3 linked regions of the Rattus norvegicus genome follow. The protein of the gene in region 1 purifies or fractionates together with the protein of each later gene. This does not show direct contact. Links are inferred from orthologs where the notes say so. Each region holds a gene or a part of one and is shown in the gene's direction. Other genes may lie near its edges.

What was found.
Region 2: the proteins of G3bp1 (region 1) and Mki67 purify together in Homo sapiens (affinity purification with mass spectrometry; 3 studies listed by BioGRID and IntAct, with this or other methods). This does not show direct contact. The link is inferred for Rattus norvegicus from reciprocal best matches to the Homo sapiens genes G3BP1 and MKI67.
Region 3: the proteins of G3bp1 (region 1) and Atxn2l purify together in Homo sapiens (affinity purification with mass spectrometry; 4 studies listed by BioGRID and IntAct, with this or other methods). This does not show direct contact. The link is inferred for Rattus norvegicus from reciprocal best matches to the Homo sapiens genes G3BP1 and ATXN2L.

What each region holds. Positions count from the first base shown.
Region 1 is NC_086028.1:40,106,843-40,113,423, forward strand, and holds part of G3bp1 (ras GTPase-activating protein-binding protein 1), read left to right. Parts: intron 1-1,138; coding exon 1,139-1,229; intron 1,230-2,484; coding exon 2,485-2,578; intron 2,579-4,584; coding exon 4,585-4,783; intron 4,784-5,523; coding exon 5,524-5,625; intron 5,626-6,581. UniProt on the Homo sapiens protein: Protein involved in various processes, such as stress granule formation and innate immunity. Plays an essential role in stress granule formation.
Region 2 is NC_086019.1:199,947,858-199,955,078, reverse strand, and holds the start of Mki67 (proliferation marker protein Ki-67), read left to right. Parts: upstream 1-2,485; 5' UTR 2,486-2,731; coding exon 2,732-2,823; intron 2,824-4,599; coding exon 4,600-4,678; intron 4,679-4,766; coding exon 4,767-4,882; intron 4,883-7,221. UniProt on the Homo sapiens protein: Protein that associates with the surface of mitotic chromosomes and acts both as a chromosome repellent during early mitosis and chromosome attractant during late mitosis.
Region 3 is NC_086019.1:190,515,742-190,523,122, reverse strand, and holds the start of Atxn2l (ataxin-2-like protein), read left to right. Parts: upstream 1-2,543; 5' UTR 2,544-2,960; coding exon 2,961-3,253; intron 3,254-3,571; exon of another isoform or gene 3,572-3,663; intron 3,664-3,708; exon of another isoform or gene 3,709-3,840; coding exon of another isoform or gene 3,841-3,875; intron 3,876-3,967; exon of another isoform or gene 3,968-3,982; coding exon of another isoform or gene 3,983-4,328; intron 4,329-4,685; coding exon 4,686-4,722; intron 4,723-4,829; coding exon 4,830-4,886; intron 4,887-4,968; coding exon 4,969-5,040; intron 5,041-5,272; coding exon 5,273-5,423; intron 5,424-5,892; coding exon 5,893-6,017; intron 6,018-6,844; coding exon 6,845-6,936; intron 6,937-7,381. UniProt on the Homo sapiens protein: Involved in the regulation of stress granule and P-body formation.

The sequences.
Region 1 (6,581 bases):
CTGAGTCAGGAGGTTTGCAAGCTTTAGGCCAGCCCACAGTAAACCAAGAGCTATCTTGAAGGAGGAAGAGGAAGGAAGAAGAAAGACTTGATCACAAGAAGGAGGAGGTGGGAAGGAAGAAGAGAAAAAAGGAGAGGAGGAGGGAGGAAGAGGAGGAGGACAATGACTACTTGTTAACTTCTCCATATACGAGATTTTACAGCCTATATTATTAATTATAGACTCAGTGTCCCTCTGTCTTTCAAGGGAAGCGTTTATCTCCCTTAAGGAAATGTATTATTGTATAAACTACAGTACACAATACGTCAGTACACAAAGCACTATGGTATGTTTTGATATTCCACTTTTTGTGAATGAAGGGACAGCTTTAGAAATTTTGAACAGCTAATCAGTAAGATGATTGGATTCGGGCTTGTGTGTCTAAATCACAGGAGAGATCTGGGTTACACCACCGTGCACATTTGGATTGATACGGTTAGATTAAGAGTCAGGGCATTTTAAATTCCTGCTAGAGTTGAAACTACTGTGCCTCTGAGTGGTTGAAAATGTTCCGTCTTTTGTATCTTATAAAAGACTTTTCCTTCTTTCCTTCCTTCCTTCCTTCCTTCCTTCCTTCCCTCCTCTTCCTCCCCCTTCTCCTCTCTCTCTCTCTCTCTCTCTCTCTCTCTCTCTCTCTCTCTGTGGGTGACCATCTGGTGGTAAGGATGGGATATTTTAACAATGTCTATGAGGTTCTTTATAATTGCATACAATCGATTTCAAACAGTAGGGCATTCAGTCTTGGCGAAGACATTGGCTGTCTTGAATGCGGTTGGCACTTAGCAATCTGATTAGTAGAGGCCAATCCCTGCCGTGAAACAAGTATTTCTAGACTTGGCTAGATGTCTGCTGGGGCCAAACCCTCCCATAGCTGAGAACCACTGGTACAGTCATGTTTGTTTTTTAAAGGAAGGGTTTGCTTTGACTCACTTTTTTTTTTTTTTTTTTTTTTTTGAGGGTACAGTCCTTCATAGCAGACAGTGGGGGGATATGAGGAGGCTGGCCACATTAATTCCATCAGAAACAGGAAGCAGATAAATACTCATGGTTCAGTGTTTTATAAGTGTGAATAACTGAAAACTTGTTGCTGACATTGCAGGGCTCTGTTGCCAACAAATTCTATGTTCACAATGACATCTTCAGATACCAAGATGAGGTCTTCGGTGGCTTTGTCACAGAGCCTCAAGAGGGTAAGTGTGAAGCTGTTGTCATGGTTACTTGTGTGGCATAAGAGAAGGTTCTTGTTACACTGTATTTTATGAATCACCAGTGTAAGGGGGTTTACAGGGATTTTATTGCTGGGAAGAAACACCACTACCAAGGCAAATCTTAAAAAGCAAACATTTAATTGGCTTAGTTTCAGAGGTTCATTCCATTATCATCATGGCGGAAAGTGTGCAGTGTGTGTAGGCAGACATGGTGCTGGAAGAGCCCAGAGTTCTACGTCTTGATCAGAAGGCATCCCAGAAGAGGCCGATTCTACACAGGGTGGAGCTTGAGCATAGGAGACCTCAGAGTTTCCTATACAGTGACACACTTCCTTCAGCAAGGTCATACCTATTCCAATAAGGCCATACCTTCTAATAGGGCCAAACCTCTTCAAACCACCACACCTAGTTAATGTGAATGAATAAGTTACTCTTGGGTCAGAAGCAGGCCAGTTAGCATGGCTCAGTGCAGAATACCATGCAGAAGGCCTGATGGACCTGTGTTGCACTGAGTGGTGGTAGTGGCATGCAGTCTTTCTAGGGATTCCCCAGTTGTGTGGAATGGGCAGTGGAGGTGCTTGCCTTTGGCTCTGTTCTAAAGCTTTATGCTATTGAAAGTGTAGAAGGTGCCTGGAAGGAAGGGACGACTAGGGTGTAGGATCAGACCTGTGGGGAGATAGTCTTTGTGTGTACTGAGCTCTAAATATATAGACCCATTAGGTGCAGTCCTTCATTCTGTAGGTGGGAGGGCCTGCTGTAGGTGCATCCTGTAAGAGTCCACTGTAACTGTCTTCAGACACACCAGAAGAGGGCATCAGATCTCATTACAGATGGTTGTGAGCCACCATGTGGCTGCTGGGAATTGAACTCAGGACCTCTGGAAGAGCAGTCAGTGCTCTTAACCACTGAGCCATCTCTCCAGCCCTTTATTGTTTGTTTTTGCTCACAGTTTAAGGGGAATAAAGTATCTTGGTGGGGTGGGGAGTTATGATGACAGGAAGGTAAGGCAGGAGTAAACAGCTTTTTTAAAGACTTAAAGAGTTTTTTTTTTTTTTTTTTTTTAAGATTCTGTGTTCTTAATTAAAATACTTAATTTTTCCCTTAAAGTCTGTGTTGTGGCTTTACCAAATTGCCCTGCTTTCTTTACTGTGTTTTTCTTTGTGTCTGTAGTAGAGCCTGTAGATTAAGAAATTTATGAGTATAGAGTGAAGTTATTTTATGTCTCTTCCTTTCTTAGAATCTGAGGAAGAAGTAGAGGAACCTGAAGAAAGACAGCAGTCACCAGAGGTGGTTGCTGATGACTCTGGAACTTTCTATGATCAGACTGTTAGGTAAGGGAACTTCCCTTCACTTGCTCAGGCTTGCAGTAAGAACTTGGATTGTGCTGGAGACAGACCTGTCTTCTAGGCATGAGTTCCAGGAGGTGAGCGGAGTCTGGGTGTCCGTGTCAGTGACAGACAGATTGGTAAGTGTTCACCGAGTCTCGGGTTTGACCTTCAGCAGTGAGTCAGATGTGGACACATTCCTGTTCCCAGTGTTCTAGAGGCTGAACACAGCCTCCATGAGCTCAGCAACAAAACAATAGTAAGTTTTTAGGAAAAGATGTTAACTGTGTTATTTCTGAATAACTAGCAATATGCAACTTTATTTTATAGGATGTACTGTGGAAACTGATGAATGTATATGGTTCAGGTTGCTAATTGTTTTGAAGACAAGTGCTCACCACTTAGCTGAGGCTAAGCCTAGAACATCTGTTTGAGCATTCAAGATGCTGAGATTGTGGGCTCCCACACATGTATCAGAAGAGCTCATTTAACTAGAGTAATAAGATTTCAAACCCGGCTGGAGAGATGGCTCAGCGGTTAAGAGCACTGACTGCTCTTCCAGAGGTCCTGAGTTCAAGTCCCAGCAACCACATGGTGGCTCACCACCATCTGTAATGGGATCTGATGCCTTCTGGTGTATCTGAAGACAGCTACAGTGTACTCACATAAAAAAAAATAAACAAATCTTTAAAAAAAAGATTTCAAAGCCATAAACTGAGTAATAATGAAGTTTTTTAGCCCAGTTCTGTGGCTCAGAGAGAGTGTAGTGACATAGGATGACCTGAGTTAGATTTCTGGAACCCCGTGTTGGAAGGAGAAAATTGACTACTTCAGGTTATTTTCTGACCTCCACATGTGTGCCATGACATGTGTGTCTCAGCCTTCCTCCCCATAATAAGTAAGTGCAATAAAACATTTAAGGCTCTCTTGGCTGGAGAGACTGTTCAGCTGTGGTAAGGTTGCTGGCAGCTCTTGCAGAATATTTGAGTTTAGTTCCCACCACCCACATGGTAGCTTAGAACTTCTGTTAACTCCAGTTACAGGAATCATGGTTTTTTTGGTGCACTGTATACACTTAAAAACATATGTAGACATATAAAAAATACTTTTATTTAAAAGGACAGTTTTGGGCTACATGAGAAAACCCTTGTTAAAAATTTTCTCATAATCACAAATAATGAGTGGTGTTGTCTTAGTCTTTTTATGGTCCTGATAGGCCACTGTGCCATGATTGTTCCATACTGTCAAAACCTGAGTTTCAGTGTTCAGCGCTCCCTTTCAAGTGTCTATCAAGGTGTGGTCACACCTGTTCATTCACCGTAGGCTGAGAGTGAAGAATGTGCTTTCCTGCAGACTTACATACTGAGGTCAGGTATCAGGAGGAAGAACAAGGCCAGGGTCAGCAAGCATTCCTTGGCAGCTGGTGTGGGAATGGAACCACTGTTCTCGAGTCTAACTTGTGTCTTTTCTTCCAGGACTCCTGGAGTGTGTTTTTTGTTAAGGATGTATTTATTATATGTATGTGGGTGTTTTGTGTGCATGTGCTTCTGCACATCAGAAAAGGGCATTGGATCACATAGTTAGCTACCATGTGTGTGCTAGGAATTGAGCTCAGGACCTCAGGAAGAAAGAACAGCCCGTGCTCTTAACTAGTAAGCCACATCTCCACCCCCTTGTGTATTTCTATAGGGCCTGTTTTGTGTGTCTAAAGCCACAGATGATAACATTTACTATATTTTGAGACTGACTGGCCTTACTAGACTTACTGGACCTGTGCTAGGCCTCAGAGAGTTTGATCTTTCTCTAACCCATTCAATACAAGGGTTTTGTGATACATATATTAATAAGCTAATTAATAGGAACTGAATGAGGAACCACTTGATTCTGTTTGATCGTTATGTTCATCAGAATTTAGCAAACAAGCTCTGGTCCTGAGAACTCTCTCTGGAGTCATTAGATGGCTCAAAGTGTCTGGCTGAGTCCTAGAGACCCGTTGAATTTTCCCATGACAGCAATGACTTGGAGGAACATTTAGAGGAGCCTGTTGTGGAACCAGAACCAGAGCCGGAGCCAGAGCCGGAACCGGAACCTGTGTCCGACATTCAAGAGGACAAGCCTGAGCCTGCATTGGAAGAAGCCGCTCCTGAGGATGTGCAGAAGAGCGCCTCCCCGGCCCCGGCAGACGTGGCCCCAGCACAGGAGGACTTGAGGGTACGGATTGTGGCTTAGCACTGTATTGCTGTCTTATTACCTGTTTCTTGTTGCTATGCTAAAGATCAGTCCCAGGTCACGGGGATGGGGGTGTTGTGTGTGCCAGGCATTGGCTGCTACGGAGCTCCTCCTGTTTGGAGACCGGTTCTCATGTTGTCCCAGGCTGGCCTCAAGCTCCAAGCAAAGCTGAGGAGGATCCTCTGGCTCCTATCTCCTGGTTGTTGGGATTATAGTTCTGTGTTGCTGTGCCTGATTATAAGGCACTCAGGACTAAACCCAGGAGTTTGTGCAAAGCTGCTAACTGAGCCACGAACCCACTCTCTGCTAGTTTATTTATTTGAGAAAAGGTTTCTCTGTGTAGCCTGGGCTATTCTGGAACTTGCTCTATAGGCCAAGCTGGCCTTGAACTCAGATATCCACCTACCTCTGCCTTTCAAGTGCTGAACTTAAAAAGGTGTGCCCCCTACTACCCTACCTTCTGCTAGTTTTTTTACATTTTTATTTCTTCATTGTAATTATGTGGTTGACTTTAAGATGATCTAACTATTCAGCCCAGGCTGGCCTATTTTAGTCCCCTAAATATTGGGACTATGGGTGTGCTGCTATGCTTGGCTGCTTCTAAGACTGTTTTAGTACATAGTGTGGGGTGGCAGATGCTTTTAGACTCTCCTGCCTGTGAGTGTTGCAGAGGTAATGGGAAGCAGAAACTAATGGCTCTGATGTGTCCTGTTCTTCCCTAGACATTTTCTTGGGCGTCTGTGACTAGTAAGAACCTTCCTCCCAGTGGGGCTGTTCCAGTGACAGGGACACCACCTCATGTGGTCAAAGTGCCAGCATCACAGGTAAGGGTCTGAATCTAGGACTTTGGGCAGGTTTTGGATGTGAGACTTAACAGGCGTAGAGAATGGGAGGAGCCTGTATACAGGGAGAGGATAGAAGGTGTTTCCCTGGGGTGTGCGGGTTCACTGAGGACGGACTGCGGTGTGGTAACTGCACAGTAGTTAGAGTAGCACCCGCCAGAAAGCAGGGTCTTGTTGATGTGCGTGAAGCTTTCTTTTATGAGTTGTGCATGCAGGGAGAAGCCAGAGGCCAACTTCTGCCATTTTCCCTGGGGAGCTGTGTACTTTGTTTTTTTGAGACAAGGTCTCTGCTGACCTGGAGCTCTCAGATTAGGTAACGCTGGCTGGCTAGTAAGCCCTGGAGCTGCCTAGCTTCATCTCCGTGGAGCCAGAATTGCTGTTTTCTAGGTTAACAGTTTTGTTTAAGAAAATTGACAAGAGATGGGAGAGACAGTTTGGCTGTTAGGAGCATTTACTGTCCTTGCAGAAGACTGGGTTCAGTTTCCAGTGTCACATGTCAGCCTGTAACTGTCTGAAACTCCAGTCCTAGGGGATCCCATCTCCTCTTTTTGGCCTCCATAGGGGATGCATGAGTTTGAGTGCACAGAGACTTAGAGGATAAAAATTTTATTTTTTCTTGTATGGTTATGGATATTTTGCCTGCCAGTTTGTTTGTATCATGTGCCTGTCTGCTGTCTTTGGAGGCCAGAAAAGGGAATAGTCCTTGCACTGACTGTAGTTACAGTTGTAAGCAACTAGGTGGGTTCTGGGACTTGAACTTGGATCCTCAGGAAGACCTACCAGTGCTCATAACTTTGAACCATCTCTCCTGCCATATACGTATACTTTAAGTTTATATATATATATATATATATATATATATATATATATATATATAATCTGTGTATGACTCTATAATATATATATATATAGTAAGTTAAAAAGAGTGCAGGGAGCAT
Region 2 (7,221 bases), on another chromosome or scaffold:
ACCCCCCCTTCCACATCCCCGCACCCCCACCCCTCGCTTTCTTTGGTAATGTTGCTGAAAAGAACTTCTGGATGAGCAGGAGGGAAGTGAGACTAAAGAGTTGAAGATGAGTGAGAATGTATGCTTTAAAGTGAGGAATGAGGAAGAGAGTATAGGGTGTTTTTATAATGCCTAGGTAGCCTTACAAAGGCTTTTCATATGATCCCATGGGTGGGAGGGGGCTTCAATGACATGGCCCCTATAGGCTCATATATTTAAATGCTTGGTTGCCAGTTGGTAGAGCCATTGGGGGAAGGGTTGGGAGCTCTGGCTCTGTTGGAGGAAGTATGTCATTGGGGATGGGCTTTGACGTTTAAATTATCTACACCATCCTGAGCGCTCTCTCTCTCTCTCTCTCTCTCTCTCTCTCTCTCTCTCTCTCTCTTTCTCTCTTTTATGTGCTTTGCATTTGCATTTGTGGATCAGATATAAGTCCCTAGCTACTTCTTCAGGGCCATGCCTAGCTGCCTGCCTGCATGCTCCCCACCATGATGGTCTCTTAACTCCCTGGAACTGTGAGCCCCAAGTTAAACATTTTTCTTATACGTTGCCTTGGTCACGGTGTTTGGTCATGGCAATGGAAAAGTGGCGAAGACGCTGTGGCTCTTAACGTTACGTTCCTCAAGGCTATAATTTAAAACAAAGCATAAAGCTTAAATTTTAAGCACATTTAAAAAACAATTAAAAATATATGAAACGAGGGCTGGAGAGATGGCACAGTGGTTATGAGGTCTCACTGCTCTTGCAGAAAAACTGAGTTCAGGCCTCATTAGCTACTTCAGGAGGCTCACAACTGCCCGTAACTCTAGCCCTGGGAGATCCAATGCTCTCTTCTATGATACAGAGGTTACCTGTACTCATATCTGCATGTTCAGACACAGACACACACATTTATACACATTTATGATATATGTGTATGTATGTGTGTATGAACTGATTTGCTTTTTAAATATCTCTGTGTGTGTGTGTGTGTGTGTGTGTGTGTGGTGATTTGCCTTTTTTTAAATCTTAATTGCATTTGGTAGATGACATCGTGAGATGCCCTTATTAGGTGCATTGCTTATGTTTGGGGATGAGAAGGTAATGCCCAAGTGGCTACAGTAAAGTTTGGATCCTGACAGCCCTAACAAGGCAGGCTGGACCACCCATCCTCAACAGACTAATTAAAGAGGTGACAGTGAAAGACACAGTGTGGACACATAGTGAATAGAAACAAAGAAGCCCAATGACACCCTAAATATATCTTTGAAGTCCTGACCAGAGGTTTAGGTGTGGAGGCCAACAGGTATGCTATAACTAATCAGCCTGCCTGGGTCAGGATGCTCTAATATACACTGGTTTCCCAGGGTGAAATTTGGTGGCTTCATACTTAAGGCTTGTCCTTGAGACCTTGAGGAGAGGGTAGATAGATATTGGTTATATTGCCCCAGGAGTGGAATTTTCACAACACCCTACTGGAAGTACGCTGATCCAGAAACAGGAGGGAGGATGAAAAAAAGAGAACAGCAAAGCATGAATTCATCTGCCTGGCACTTGTCCTGGTAAACCCCAACTGGTGCCCCAGGATCCCTATCTTAGGATTTGCAGGTGTAGTCTTCTTTTTTTTTTTTTTTTTTTTGTTCTTTTTTTCGGAGCTGGGGACCGAACCCAGGGCCTTGCGCTTCCTAGGTAAGCTCTCTACCACTGAGCTAAATCCCCAGCCCTGCAGGTGTAGTCTTGCACAGGTTACTTCAACTGGTATTCCCCTCACCTCCACCCCGAAGCAGCAACGCATTGCAAACTTAACTGTGCTGAGCAATAACTCTTTATGGTTTTGGAAAAACCGTGCCACTGCCTCCGCGTTCACTAAGCAGGGAGACTGTAGGATGAATGTAATATCCTCCACGTTTTAAAGAACAGTTTGTGGGACACTGAAAAGGCATGCGGTGATGAGGAAACTGCAGAGGAAGGGCTTTAATTTTTAAAATATGAAGCTTCTAGTGCTGAGCAAGACACGGCGTTGCTGGTGTTTGATTCCAGGGGAGGCGGCGTATAGGTAGCTTTTTACAGATAGCCTTGCTTGTTTCCCTGCCGCTGAAAATCTGGGACGCTCTGCCTACGAAAGCCTCGGGGGCCCGCCTTCCTGCACGTAACTCTGGCCTGGTCCCGCTTCTCCGGCCAGTTCCGGGCCCAGCCCCGCCTACCGGCCTGGCCCCTCCCACTTGTCCGGCTCCGCCTCACCACCAGGCCCGCATCCTGGCTCCACCTCTGGACTTCCCCAATCCTATGTCGCCCTTTCCATTGGTCTCTCGCTGCCCGTATGGCCCAATCGCAGCACTTAGCGCCAGAATTTGAACCGCCGTTTTCGTTTGAATTGGGCGGGCACGGCGGGCAGCCTTGGCGCGGAACCGCCTTGGAGGACACTCGGGACGGGCGGGCGGGCGGCCGGCCGTGTGTACCAGGGACGCGGGCGGCGGGCGGCGGGTGTGCGGGTCGGGGCGGAGCGAAGGCCGCGGGTGGCCGTGGTCGGACCTCCGCGGCTGAGGAGCCGAGGGTTCTGACGCGGGCTGCACCCGGTGAGCCGCGGGCAGAGCTAACTTTCGCTGTCAGAACCAGCTGAGGAGCGGCCGGGCGGCGAGACGGCGAGCTTCACAGAGGGGCTACTCCGCCCTCGGCCGCAGTCACTGACTCCGGACTGACGGCCGGGCGGACCATGGCGTCCTCAGCTCGCCTGGTCACCATCAAACGGAGCGGCGATGACGGCGCACACTTCCCGCTGAGCCTCAGCTCCTGCCTGTTTGGAAGGTGAGTTCGCGCAGGGGCCGAGGTGACCGCGGGCAGCGACCCCGCGCCCCTACCGCCCTTTGCGTTTGACAGAGCTGCCCCTGTAGCATTTTCGGAAGTCACGCTCACACACTGAGAACTTCCCAAGTAGACGCGAAGCTGACATCGGTGTCCCGCAACTCCCACATTGCCACTCTCAGGCAGCCAGCTGTGGCTCTGGAAGTTTCTGGAAAGGTGAAGATAGGAGAGCCTTGCTCCGGTGCTCTGGGAGAATCCCCTCTTTCCCTCCCCTGGATAGCAATCTACCCTGAGGCCTTCCAGGCGGTTGCTTGCGTTGCCACTTTTGCAAACTTTGACCCTTAAAGCAGTTTCTGCCGCTTTTGAAATGTTACCTGAGAATGTGATTTAAAGAAAGCTCGTCTTTTCTAACACCATGCAGGTTGGTGACTAGGTTTTAGATTTTTGTTTGTCTCCCAGTAGACTAAAATTCCAAGGCAAGGGATGCCATGTTAGTGATTACATCCCCAGGGTTCCATATGGCGCCTGACACTTAAGTCAGTGTGTGACACAGGGTGAGTGTCTGGTAGGATGATGGAGTTCAGGCACGAATGGTAGTTTTCAGACATTTGGCAGAGTCTGGTGACAGATTTTCATATCATCCTGGGAGAGGTATCTGCCACTAGTATTGCTGAGGACAGACACATGGTGTATTTGACAGGAATCAGCGCTTGAGGAATTATCTGATCTAGAATATCTGTGGCATTCTGTATGTAGTATGCATTGCGGTACTCTTTCTGCTCAGTGAAACTGGGTTCCAACATAGAGTCTCTCTGCCTGGTGTTTTGATATCCAAAACCTCTGTTTTCTTGACAGTAAGGAAGCTGTAAGAGTAAGGAAATTTCTATAGCTGTTGTTGTTTAAAAGAAGAAAGTAAATATTCTTGTCACAGGTGTCATTCATTTTGATTATTCTGCAATATTACTTAAATATACTTTTAACAAGTTTTAAAAATGTTAATAATTTGCATTTGGTTGTGTGCTATTTATTGTAAGAGATATACTTAGACGCCAGAGGTTCATAGGAAAACAGTATGTAGGGTATGTTCTGACTTTAATGTTCATGATGGAGCTATCAGTGAAATTCCTGGTTTTGACTGAGTTAGGATCGTCCCTTCTGTGCTGTGCCACCACTGTGCTAGCTTTCTAGAAAGATGTTCTAATCTAGATACTGTTTGCGGATTAGTGTTTGTATTGTGAGGACGTCTGAGTCTGTCAACTTGGTGTGGTTTTAAAACAACAACTTAAAAACTCACATGGATTAACTGTGCCAGTGACATACACAGTTATAACTGAATAGCAACACAGGTGCTGGTATAGACCTTTTGTGTATGAAGAAACTGAGGCATTGATTACCCACGGCACATTTTATGCTAGTTCCTTCTGTGCCCTTAAACACCCATATTGTTATAAACACATCAGGAAGTTCTCCTGAACGGATATAAAGTTCTCTTTTATACGTGTCTTGTAATTATAACTACTTGTATGAAAAGTAATTGGTTGTGTGTTCTGGTATTTTCTAATATAATCATTCTGAAGTACTAGAAGTCTTAATGATCTTTTATGGCTTCCTTGGCAATACTTGTGAGCGTTGTTTGCACTGCCCATGATAATCTTGTCAGTCCTTGTGTTGTTACATTTATAGTCTAAACATACTAGTCAAATTCTGTTCATTTGAAATTTTGAGCATTTCTTTTTTAGTTGTACCTTCATAAAAACCCTTACTTTTTTTTGTATTAAGGAGTATTGAATGTGACATTCGTATACAGCTGCCTGTAGTGTCAAAAAAACATTGCAAAATTGAAGTCAAAGAACAAGAGGTAAGTTGGCTTTGGAAATCAACTCTTAAAGCTTTTGAAGTTGACTTGAAGCAAGACCTTAGTGTTTGCGTCTCCTCTCTCCTTGTAGGCAATATTATATAATTTCAGTTCCGCCAATCCAACTCAAGTAAATGGCACTATTATAAATGAGCCTGTGCAGCTGAAACATGGAGACATAATAACAATCATTGACCGCTCCTTTAGGTGGGTGAAAACTAACTGAAATAATTCTGAATACTGTGTTTTCTTTAATCACAAACTAGTACCTTCGTTGATCCTTCTTTGGTGTTGATGGATGTTGGAAATGTCTGACAGGATGTGGGGTGTGTGTGTGTGTGTATGTGTGTGTGTGTGTGTGTGTGTACATATGCCGGTGCTTGGACCTGTGCCTGTGGAGAATAGAGGACAACATTAGGTGTGGTCCTGAGAATTTGGGTCAGTTTTTCTCTCCTTTTTCAAACAGGGTCTCTAACTGGCTTAGGCTAGATTGCCTAGACACCCAAGCCCAATGTCCTGTCTTTGCTTTCCCAGTGTTGTTGATGGCACGTCTTAAAGTTCCTAGCTCCTAGTCCCTTAGAGAATACGTTTGGTTCTTAAAGAACAATTTTGTTAAACTGAGGCAATCAGGCTTCGTCCAAACCCAGGACTGATGTCATTATAATAAGGAAAGATTAGCATACAGGGGAACAATCACACTGAGGTGAAGTGCTGTGAAGAGACAGGAAGGAGGCTGCCAGTTCAGGAGGCCCAGAGGAGCCATTCCTACAGATGCCTTGGACTTGGACTTCCAGCCAGAATTGTGAGCAGCAAATTTCTGTTATTTAAGGTACTCCATCTATTTTAATTGTGGGAGTCCTAGCTGACTAATACACCACAGCCAAGTCACAAGGGAAAATTCTACACCTTTGTGTGTGTGTGTGTGTGTGTGTGTGTGTGTGTGTGTGTGTGTGTGTTCTCTCTAATCATAGCTTTTCTCTTAGTAAGCCACCATGGTGACTGTGAGAGAGAGAGAGGTGTCTTTGGAGTTTTGCCGTCTGTTTGTGGGTGTTAGTGGCATTTTAATAAGTGTGTTGCTGTGTTTTTCTTTTAACCCAGATAGCTCCCAAATAATTGAGACTGGACTACTATATTTATTTAATAAGCTTTAAGGGTATAACAACTGAGCGATATTACTCTATTTTAGTTCTCTATGCTAATCTGTCTACCTCCCAAGCAAAATTCCAGTGATATTTGCATTTGGTACTACTGATTGGACTCTCTGGGCTCCAGGTGTTTCTCATGGTGCCTCTGGACTCTCAGATTGCCTAATCCTCACGTGTCTCTTCCTCTCTCTCCTCTCCTCTCCTTTCTTTTCTTTTCCTTCTTTTCCCTCCCCTTCTTTCCCTTCCCTTCTCCTCCCCTCTTCCCCCACTCTTTCCTCTCTTTTTCTCCTCCCCTGGCTAGATGGAAGTTCAACCCTATTGTCTCCCTTTCTCAGTCACTGGCTGATCAACTAGCTTTGTTGACTAATCAAGAAATAATTGGGGAGTGATGCTTATACAACATAGAGACAGCAGAGTCTTAGAATAAGGTTTGCAACCAGAAATGGGGGCACAGAAATCAGCATTGGAAAAATACAATGATAATCTTTACACAGGGCGCAATAACATTATGCTTGCATGTGGGACTCTAAACACTATAGTTAGCATAAAACTTTGTGTGTTTATGTCTGACTAATGTTCTCGTGTGTGGTTTATAGCATGTTGGATGTCTTTGGCTTGTTTCTTCTCACAGCGTAGGTATTTTATTAACATAGCACAGTATGTACTGTAGCATGTAAGAATATTCACAGTTCAGTCATTCTTGAGAATTTGAGTGATTTCTAGTAGAAATCTGCCAAGACTTTCTTTGTGATCAAATGCCCTCCCCCCATTTCCTGTATTTAAAAATTTCCTGTATTCCTCAACTACCAAATGCAGTGTTCTATCTGTAGAACTGTTAAATTCTCTATTTTTAAAAATTATTTTACTATTTCCCTGCTTACTACCTAGGAGACATATTGAAATCATCCATTGAGGATTTGTTTATTTTTCTTTAATTAATTTTCCCTATCACTTTTTGTTTCATATTTTTGATGCTACACCCTGGCATATGGTTGTGGACTCCTGGATATAATTCTAAATTATGCACAGAATTCTTTGTCATTTGAAATATCTCTTACTTTTAGTCACATCTTTTGCCTTAGTGATTCTTTTGGATGATAAATATGAATACATTAACTCATTATGTTTATATTGTATAGCTTTCAATTCTTTATAATTCTTAAGGTTTTTGTTGTGTCAAGGAACCTGCTGTTGTGTGGCTTAACTTTAAATAGACTTTTTTTTAGATACACTATGTTGATGGATTTACCTTTAAATCCATATAAAATGAACTTCGCCTCTTTGAACAATTCGAAAGGCCTTTTTTTTTTCTATTGACTAGACTCTTTAAAAGAGACTTGGTTTATCACTGTGATAGCTTGAAGAAAGGTTTCGGATGCTACCTGGGTTCAGATCTTACAT
Region 3 (7,381 bases), on another chromosome or scaffold:
TTTGAGACAAGGTCTACATAGCCCTGGAATTCACAGAGATCCGTCTGCTTCTTCATCTGAATGCTGGGATTAAAGTTTATGTCACCATGCCCAACTTGCAAGCATGTTTCTAACCTATTATTCTGTGAGCTATCATCTATTATTGACATTTATCTTGTGGTGCAAATTGTCCCGGGTTTGAGCCGCCACCAGAACCCCTTCAAGCTAATTCCTGAATATCTTTTTTTTTTCCTGAATATTTTCTTTCTTGCCATGCTGAGTTTCCAGCACAGTGTGTCACACATGCTAGGCAAATGTCCTAGCACCGAACTAAATCTCAACTTAAGTAATTATTTTCTGACACATCTAGCTCAGGGTGATCTTAAACTTGATATACAGCTGAAGCTTGCCTTGAACTCCTGATTCTCCTGTCTTCACCTCTGAAGTACTGAGATTACAGGCCTGGACCATCAGGTCTAGCCAGAAAATAGTATTTTAAGCTCTGGGCTTTAGGGCTGGGAATTTAGCTCAGTTGGTCAAGTTATTTGGCTAACATGTGAAGCCCTGGGCTTATACCTCAGCACTGCACTGAAGTGGGTATGGTGCACTCGGGAGGTTAGAGCCTAGAGAATTATAAATTATTCCTGGCCATACATCAAGTTTGAAGCTAGCCTTAGATATATGACATCAAACGTGTGTGTGTGTGTGTGTGTGTGTGTGTGTGTGTGTGGCATGGTAGCACAGCACATCCTTTTTATTCAAGTGCTTTAATCCAAGCACTCCAGAGACAGGAGGGTGGATCTCAGAGTCTGAGGCCAGTCTGGTCTACACAGTGAGTTACAGGACAGCCAGGACTACAAAGAGAGACCCTGACTCAAAAAGAAGGGTGGGGGAATGGCTCCTCCGTTTAGAGTGCTGTGCTGGGTTCAGTGTCCAGTACCTATATGGTGTACATACATGCACTCAAGTTTACATATGCATAAAATAAAAATTTAAAACTCTGGGAGCTGGAGAGATGGCTCGGTTTCAGAGGACTTGGCTTTGATTCTTAGCAACCCAACCACATGGCAGCTTACATTTGCTAATTCCAGTCCCAGGGGACCTGATGCCAGCGTCTGGCCTGTGAGGTCAAACACACACACACACACACACACAGAGTACACAAATTTTTATTTTGTACACTGCTACCAAATGATCTATTTATCTTTCCCCTGCTCGCATACCTTTTGGGAAGTGTGTGCCAAGTCTCACCTGACCTGCTGGCCTTAAACTAAATATGTAGGGATGACTTTAATTAATTCCATTTTTCTGCCTCCAATGGGTTATTAATCTAAATGTAGATTTGGACTCATCTATACAACTATGTTCAGTTTGTTAGTGTCCACCCAATCCTATATTTAATTTTTGAATTGTGTTCACCAATAGTAGGATTTTAGGTTAACATTCCATGACAAAACCTGGGTGTGATGATGTATGTCTTTTTTTTTTTTTTTGGTTCTTTTTTTCGGAGCTGGGGACTGAACCCAGGGCCTTGCGCTTCCTAGGTAAGCGCTCTACCACTGAGCTAAATCCCCAGCCCCGATGATGTATGTCTTAATCCTAGCACTTAGGAAGAAGGCAGACAGATCTCTGTAAGTTTAAGACCACCCTGGTTGGCACAGGGAGGTGAAAGCCAGCTAAAGGAAATAGTGAGACTTTCAGGCTCCATCCAAGCTGTCAGATCTATTCCACCTGTATAGAAATCCATTTTCCTGCTCTGTTTTACCAAGTACCTCTGGTCAAATTATATAAATCTTGCACTACTTTGAGCTTTGAGTTTCTTAGTTACCCTTGTGCCCAAAGCATGGACCAATGTTCAACTTGTCTTCCTTCTGAAACAAGGTCTGCCCAGCTGACCTGGAACTTATATAATCCAGGCTGGCCTCAAACTTCTGATCCTCCTACCCTTCCTTCCTAGTGCTGGGATTGAAGTTGTGAACCACCACAGCTGCCCTCATTTTGAATGACGGCTGCCTTTATAGGCAAGCATTGTACCACGATTCTCCGACAGTGTCTTGCTATGCAGCCTGGGCTGGGTTCTGTAATATACTCTTAGAAGTCTAGCCTCCAGACTGCCTGTATTGTTACTGTTCTGGATTTCACTATCCCAGAAAAAGTCACTGAATTTCAGTTTCAAATTGGACACCTTTGTTAGGATGCACTTACGCTCAAGTAGTCATTCTAATGCTCATTAATATTCTAAAGGAGGTAAGATGGAGAACAGCATATTTAAAAACCCACCTGCCTTAAAGTTACCTGTACTAGGTTTGTCCTAGGGTTTTTTTTTTTTTTTTTTTTTTTTTTGGCCCACGAGACTCCGCCCACCGCTCACCCAGTGGCGGAAGAACCTCACGCTACGACGTGATACCTCACACCACCGCGGAGACTTTCTGACGTTACGCTTGTGGCGTGGGAGGGGCGGGTCCACCGGCACTTCCCCTTCCTGGCTTTGGCCCCTCCCACACTCGTTGTGAAGCAACCGCGGCCGCCAGTATTTAAGGTGGCTCGGAACCTAGAGGTGCTCTAGGCGCCTGCGCGGCTCCTTTTCCGCCCTAAGGGCTAGACCAGTCTGAGCCACAACTGGAGCCTCTTCTGCTTTCCGGAACTAACCGCCTGGCGGCGCTCCCCGCGCCCCTCCCCCGCCGGCGCTTCCGCCCGCGCTCCTCCCTCTCTCCTTCTCCAGCGACGCGCACGCGCGCCAAGCCGGCTCGCGCCCTCTCGCTATCCACCGGCCCGCGACATCCCCCCCTCCCCTTCCGCCTCGCGGCGCTTCCTCGCGCCGCCGTCTTCTCAATCCACCCCTGACACCGCGGGGCTCCCCCCGCCCGCCAACGGCGGGTCCCCTGCTTGGCGATCTCTCTCGCTTCCCGCGCTCTCCAGCAGGGGCCCAGCCTCAGGCCCTCTTTCCCTTCCCTCTAATTTCTCTTCCGGACGCTGCCATCATGTTGAAGCCTCAGCCGCCACAACAGACCTCCCAGCCCCAGCAGCCGCCCCCCACGCAACAGGCCGTGGCTCGCCGGCCTCCCGGCGGGACTAGCCCTCCCAACGGCGGCCTCCCGGGACCGCTGCCCGCTACCGCGGCTCCCCCGGGGCCTCCCACAGTGGTCTCTCCGTGCCTGGGGCCTGCAGCCGCTGCCGGCAGCGGGCTCCGCCGCGGAGCCGAAAGCATCTTGGCGGCGCCAGCGCCGCAGCAGCATCAAGAACGGCCAGGGGCAGTGGCTATCGGCAGCGTCAGGTGAGAACGGGACTCCTGGCTGGGGAGAGCCCAGGTGGCAGCGACTCGGCTTTGGCGGAGGCGCGCCGGGGCTTGGCGCTGTTGAGGGGCTCTTAGGGCCCAGAACCCCGTGAAGGAGGGGGTAGACCCTCGTGCCAACAGGTCGGAGAGAAAGATCTCCGGGCGGTCTCCAGGAGCCTGGGGGCAGTGCTCGGCTCTCTGGGCCTAGTCACCGCTTGGGGTCTGGGCCCTGAGGGGAGGCGGGGCGCGTCCCGCCAGCTCCGTCGGAAAAGGGTGTTGGGGGGGTTGAGGAGGTGATGGGGTCCCCAGCTCCATTACCACGGAGGATCTCGCGGTCCCCGGTTTCAGCCAATGGGGAGTCAGCTGCATGAAGGGGTCCCCGGCTGTAGCCAATAGAGGGGGGGCGCGCGGCCCACAGTTTGACCAATGGGAAGGGAGGGACTTGGGAGCAGATTGTTCCCTCCTCTTCCCGGTGTAGCCAGTAAGAGGGGAACGGAGTGGGCGGGGGCGCGGAAGCAGCGGCTACTGGGAAGACTGCAGACTGGGAAGCTCCTGCGCGCGCGCTCCCTGCCCGTACGTGCGCGCGGATGCTGTCTTATGACTCGGGCATTGGCTTGCCCCGGTAACACGTAGAGCAAAGACTGAGGAGGGGGGGGTTGGTTGGAGGGTTTAGGGGCGTCTGGTGTTGGTGAGTGAGGAGTGGGTGCCCTCGGTTTTCTTGGTGTGTCAATGCGATTAGAAGCAGCCACTAGACGCAGGCGCAGTGGCTTCTGTTCTAGAGCGGGTGGAGGGCTATGGGCTTTAGTGCGCAGGCGCATACCGGGCGAGGCATCCCGGTGGATGGTTTTTGCGGCTGCGCGGTCCCCCAGCCCCGCCAACGGCCCCCTCCTCGCCCTCCTCAACTGCCGGTTACATCAGCCGTCGAGGAGCTGTGTTACCTGGCGATTGGGGATCCTTTCAGAGTGGGTAACAGGCTGAATGAAAATAATGAGGGCGAAAGGGTGGGGTGTGGAGAGTATACCCCTCCTGGGATTTGGAATCCAAGGCTGCTGAAAGTGCTTTTTTCCTTTGGGAGGTAATGTGTCTAAGCTCAGTAGTGCTGCATTTGGGGTGCCCGAGCTTTCACCTTCACAACTGAATTGGGCTGTTGGTTTACAAATACAGCAGTGTTTTATGGGAAGAGTGAAGTCCCCTTGGAGGAAGTCAGGTTGTATTGCATTGGCTGTTAGCCGCATTTGACAGCTATTGTTTATTGAATTTTTTGTTGGCTTTTTAAAATCTTGAATTTGGAGAAAATGTTTTAGCAAGTAATTCCTGCTTTCCTCTTTAATGTGAGCATTTGTTAATCAGCCCGTAGCCTAAATCAGCAAGTTGACATGGTACATTGTTCTAGGGTTCACTGTTAATTAAAACTAGTTTCTCTCTTTAACAGGGGACAGACCACCGGAAAGGGACCCCCACAGTCACCAGTGAGTGCCTTTTTTTCCTCTTGTAAAGACTCAGAAGACATAGGGTGGGACAGTCTGGGAAGAAAGAGTATTCACCTGCTGCCCTTTGCTTTTTTCTTGTGTGACAGGTGTTTGAAGGTGTCTATAACAATTCCAGGATGCTGCATTTCCTGACAGCTGTAGTGGTAAGTGAGAGCTTTAACGTTGGGTGTCTGAGGAATATGCTGTTTCAGTTTTTTAAAGTGACTTAATCTTTCACCTTGCTAGGGTTCTACCTGTGATGTAAAAGTGAAAAATGGCACCACTTATGAGGGCATTTTCAAGACGCTGAGCTCAAAGGTCAGTGTACTCAAATCGTGGAGTTTCTGAAGCTGTGTATGAGAGTGCAATTGAGGTTTGTGTAGGGTTGAGAGCAGGCAGTTTTGAGGCTTTTGCTAAGTTCTCTGGCTGATGTTGAGAAATGCAGAACAACATGAGAATTTGATGTTGAAAGACTAGAAAGCTTTGAGAGAAGCCATCTTTTCCTCCCTTTGATACTGACCCTGGAATGTTGGGAATGGGGCTTTTGTAGTTTGAACTGGCAGTAGATGCGGTACATCGGAAAGCCTCTGAGCCAGCAGGTGGGCCTCGTCGGGAAGACATTGTGGACACCATGGTGTTTAAACCAAGTGATGTTCTGCTTGTCCACTTCCGAAATGTTGACTTCAATTATGCTACTAAAGGTATTGTTCTATACTGTTGTGCCAAGAAACTGAGTAGAGGAAGCCCATGGGTTGGACAAATTGGCTTGATTTATCTTTTTCAGTACGTTTTTCAGTAGCGATGACTTGAGTTCTTGAAAACATCTTGATACCTAATAGAGTCCAATGAATGTGACTAGTGGTGTAGATACTCCTGTTTTCCTGTTTCATGCTTTCACCTTTAGCATTTGGATTATTAGATTGGGCCTTTTTTGTTTGTTTTGAGTGTCTTTGTATATATGGCTAGCCTCCTTAGGCTTGGATTGCCTCTGCTTCCTGAGTGCTGGAATTACCAGCATTCACCATCCCATCTAGATCTGTTTCACTAGTCTTACCTGCTCCCATAAAACTAAATCTGGTGTTTCTTTCTTTGTGTTAAACCACTTGGGGTTGGGAATGAGGGTGAGAAGGGGGTGCATCACCTAACCCTCTTTCTCACCTTGGCCAACAGACAAGTTCACTGACTCAGCCATTGCCATGAACTCTAAGGTGAATGGAGAACACAAAGAGAAGGTGCTTCAGCGTTGGGAGGGCGGTGACAGCAACAGTGATGACTACGATCTGGAATCCGATATGGTATGTTCTCTGCTCCTGAGAGCAGGCGGGCTGAGTTGTGGTTGGCATGGGTTGTTGATGTGGACAGTCATTATTTTTTGTGGGGTGTTCGTGTTTGGAGGAGAGTGTTGTTCATTTTTGTTTTAGGGTCTGTTTTGGAAAGAAGGGTAGAAGAGGATGGGTCAGTTTTCCCATCCTCTGCATTGAAAACTGTTAACCTTTCTCTATGGCAGCACTTGTTATTGTAGTAAAAAGTCTTAAGTTGAGCATGGTATAACCCATACCCTCTAATCCAGCCTTGGGGAAGTTGAGGCAGAAGAATTGTGAGTTCCCAAACAGTCTGGACTATATAACAAAAAGTCTATCTTTATAAAAGCCGAGGAGAGAAGTGGTGCTGTGTAGGACTGTGCTTCTTCACACTGCTACCTCTGAGCTTAGGTATAAATTAAGCTGACAAGGTGGGTCAGCAGCTAAAGGTGCCTGCCACCACGCCAAGTGATGGAAAGGAACAGACTCCTGTAGATCGTCCCCAGACTTTGACTCACGTGCCTACCACACCACAGGAACAAACCTACAGAAGTAAAGGAAAAAAGGGTTTTTGAGTTTCTTTTTTTGAAAAAGCCATGATAGCCCCTGTAATTCCAGTTTAGAATGTGAAAACAAGAGGACCAAGGACTCGAGGCAGTCCTTCCTTGCAATTAGAACACAAGACCATTTCTCAAAAACGTCTTGTTAATAGATGCATGTCAGTGTGTTCAGTTTCCACAGGAGTTTTTAACTTGGTGGAGGCGAAATGGCATGCTATCTTCCCTTTTTTTACTGAGTTCTAAACATTCTTGTTCTCGTAGTCTAATGGATGGGATCCTAATGAGATGTTCAAATTTAATGAGGAGAACTATGGAGTGAAGACCACCTATGACAGCAGTCTATCTTCTTACACGTAAGCATTTTGGGAGTTTGCGGTGGTGATGTTGGGTGTCTGGTATGTAGAGCTTACTGTGGATTTAGCAAGGCAGACCTCTAAATGAAACCGTTGTTGTATAGTGTTTTTGGTTTCCCACCTGATTTGCCTATTCAATTTCTTGTGGATAACAATAACTTGGGAATGTAGCTCAGTTGTAAGTATGTGCTATACAAACATAAGGACCAGAGTTCTCTCCCCAGCAGCCCTTTAAAAAGATGAGTATGATGGTCAACCTTATCATTTTACTTCTGGAAAAGCAAAATCAAGCTAGGGATGGGGGGCAGGAGTGCTTGCTGCCAGCCAGCCTGACCTAATCTGAACCCCCAAAAAACGCATCAGATTCAGAACATGTCCTGGGGTTTTGCCTAGGGTTTGGCAGCTGTTTGTTGAATATATACTGACTGAACTGGGGGTTAAGTTC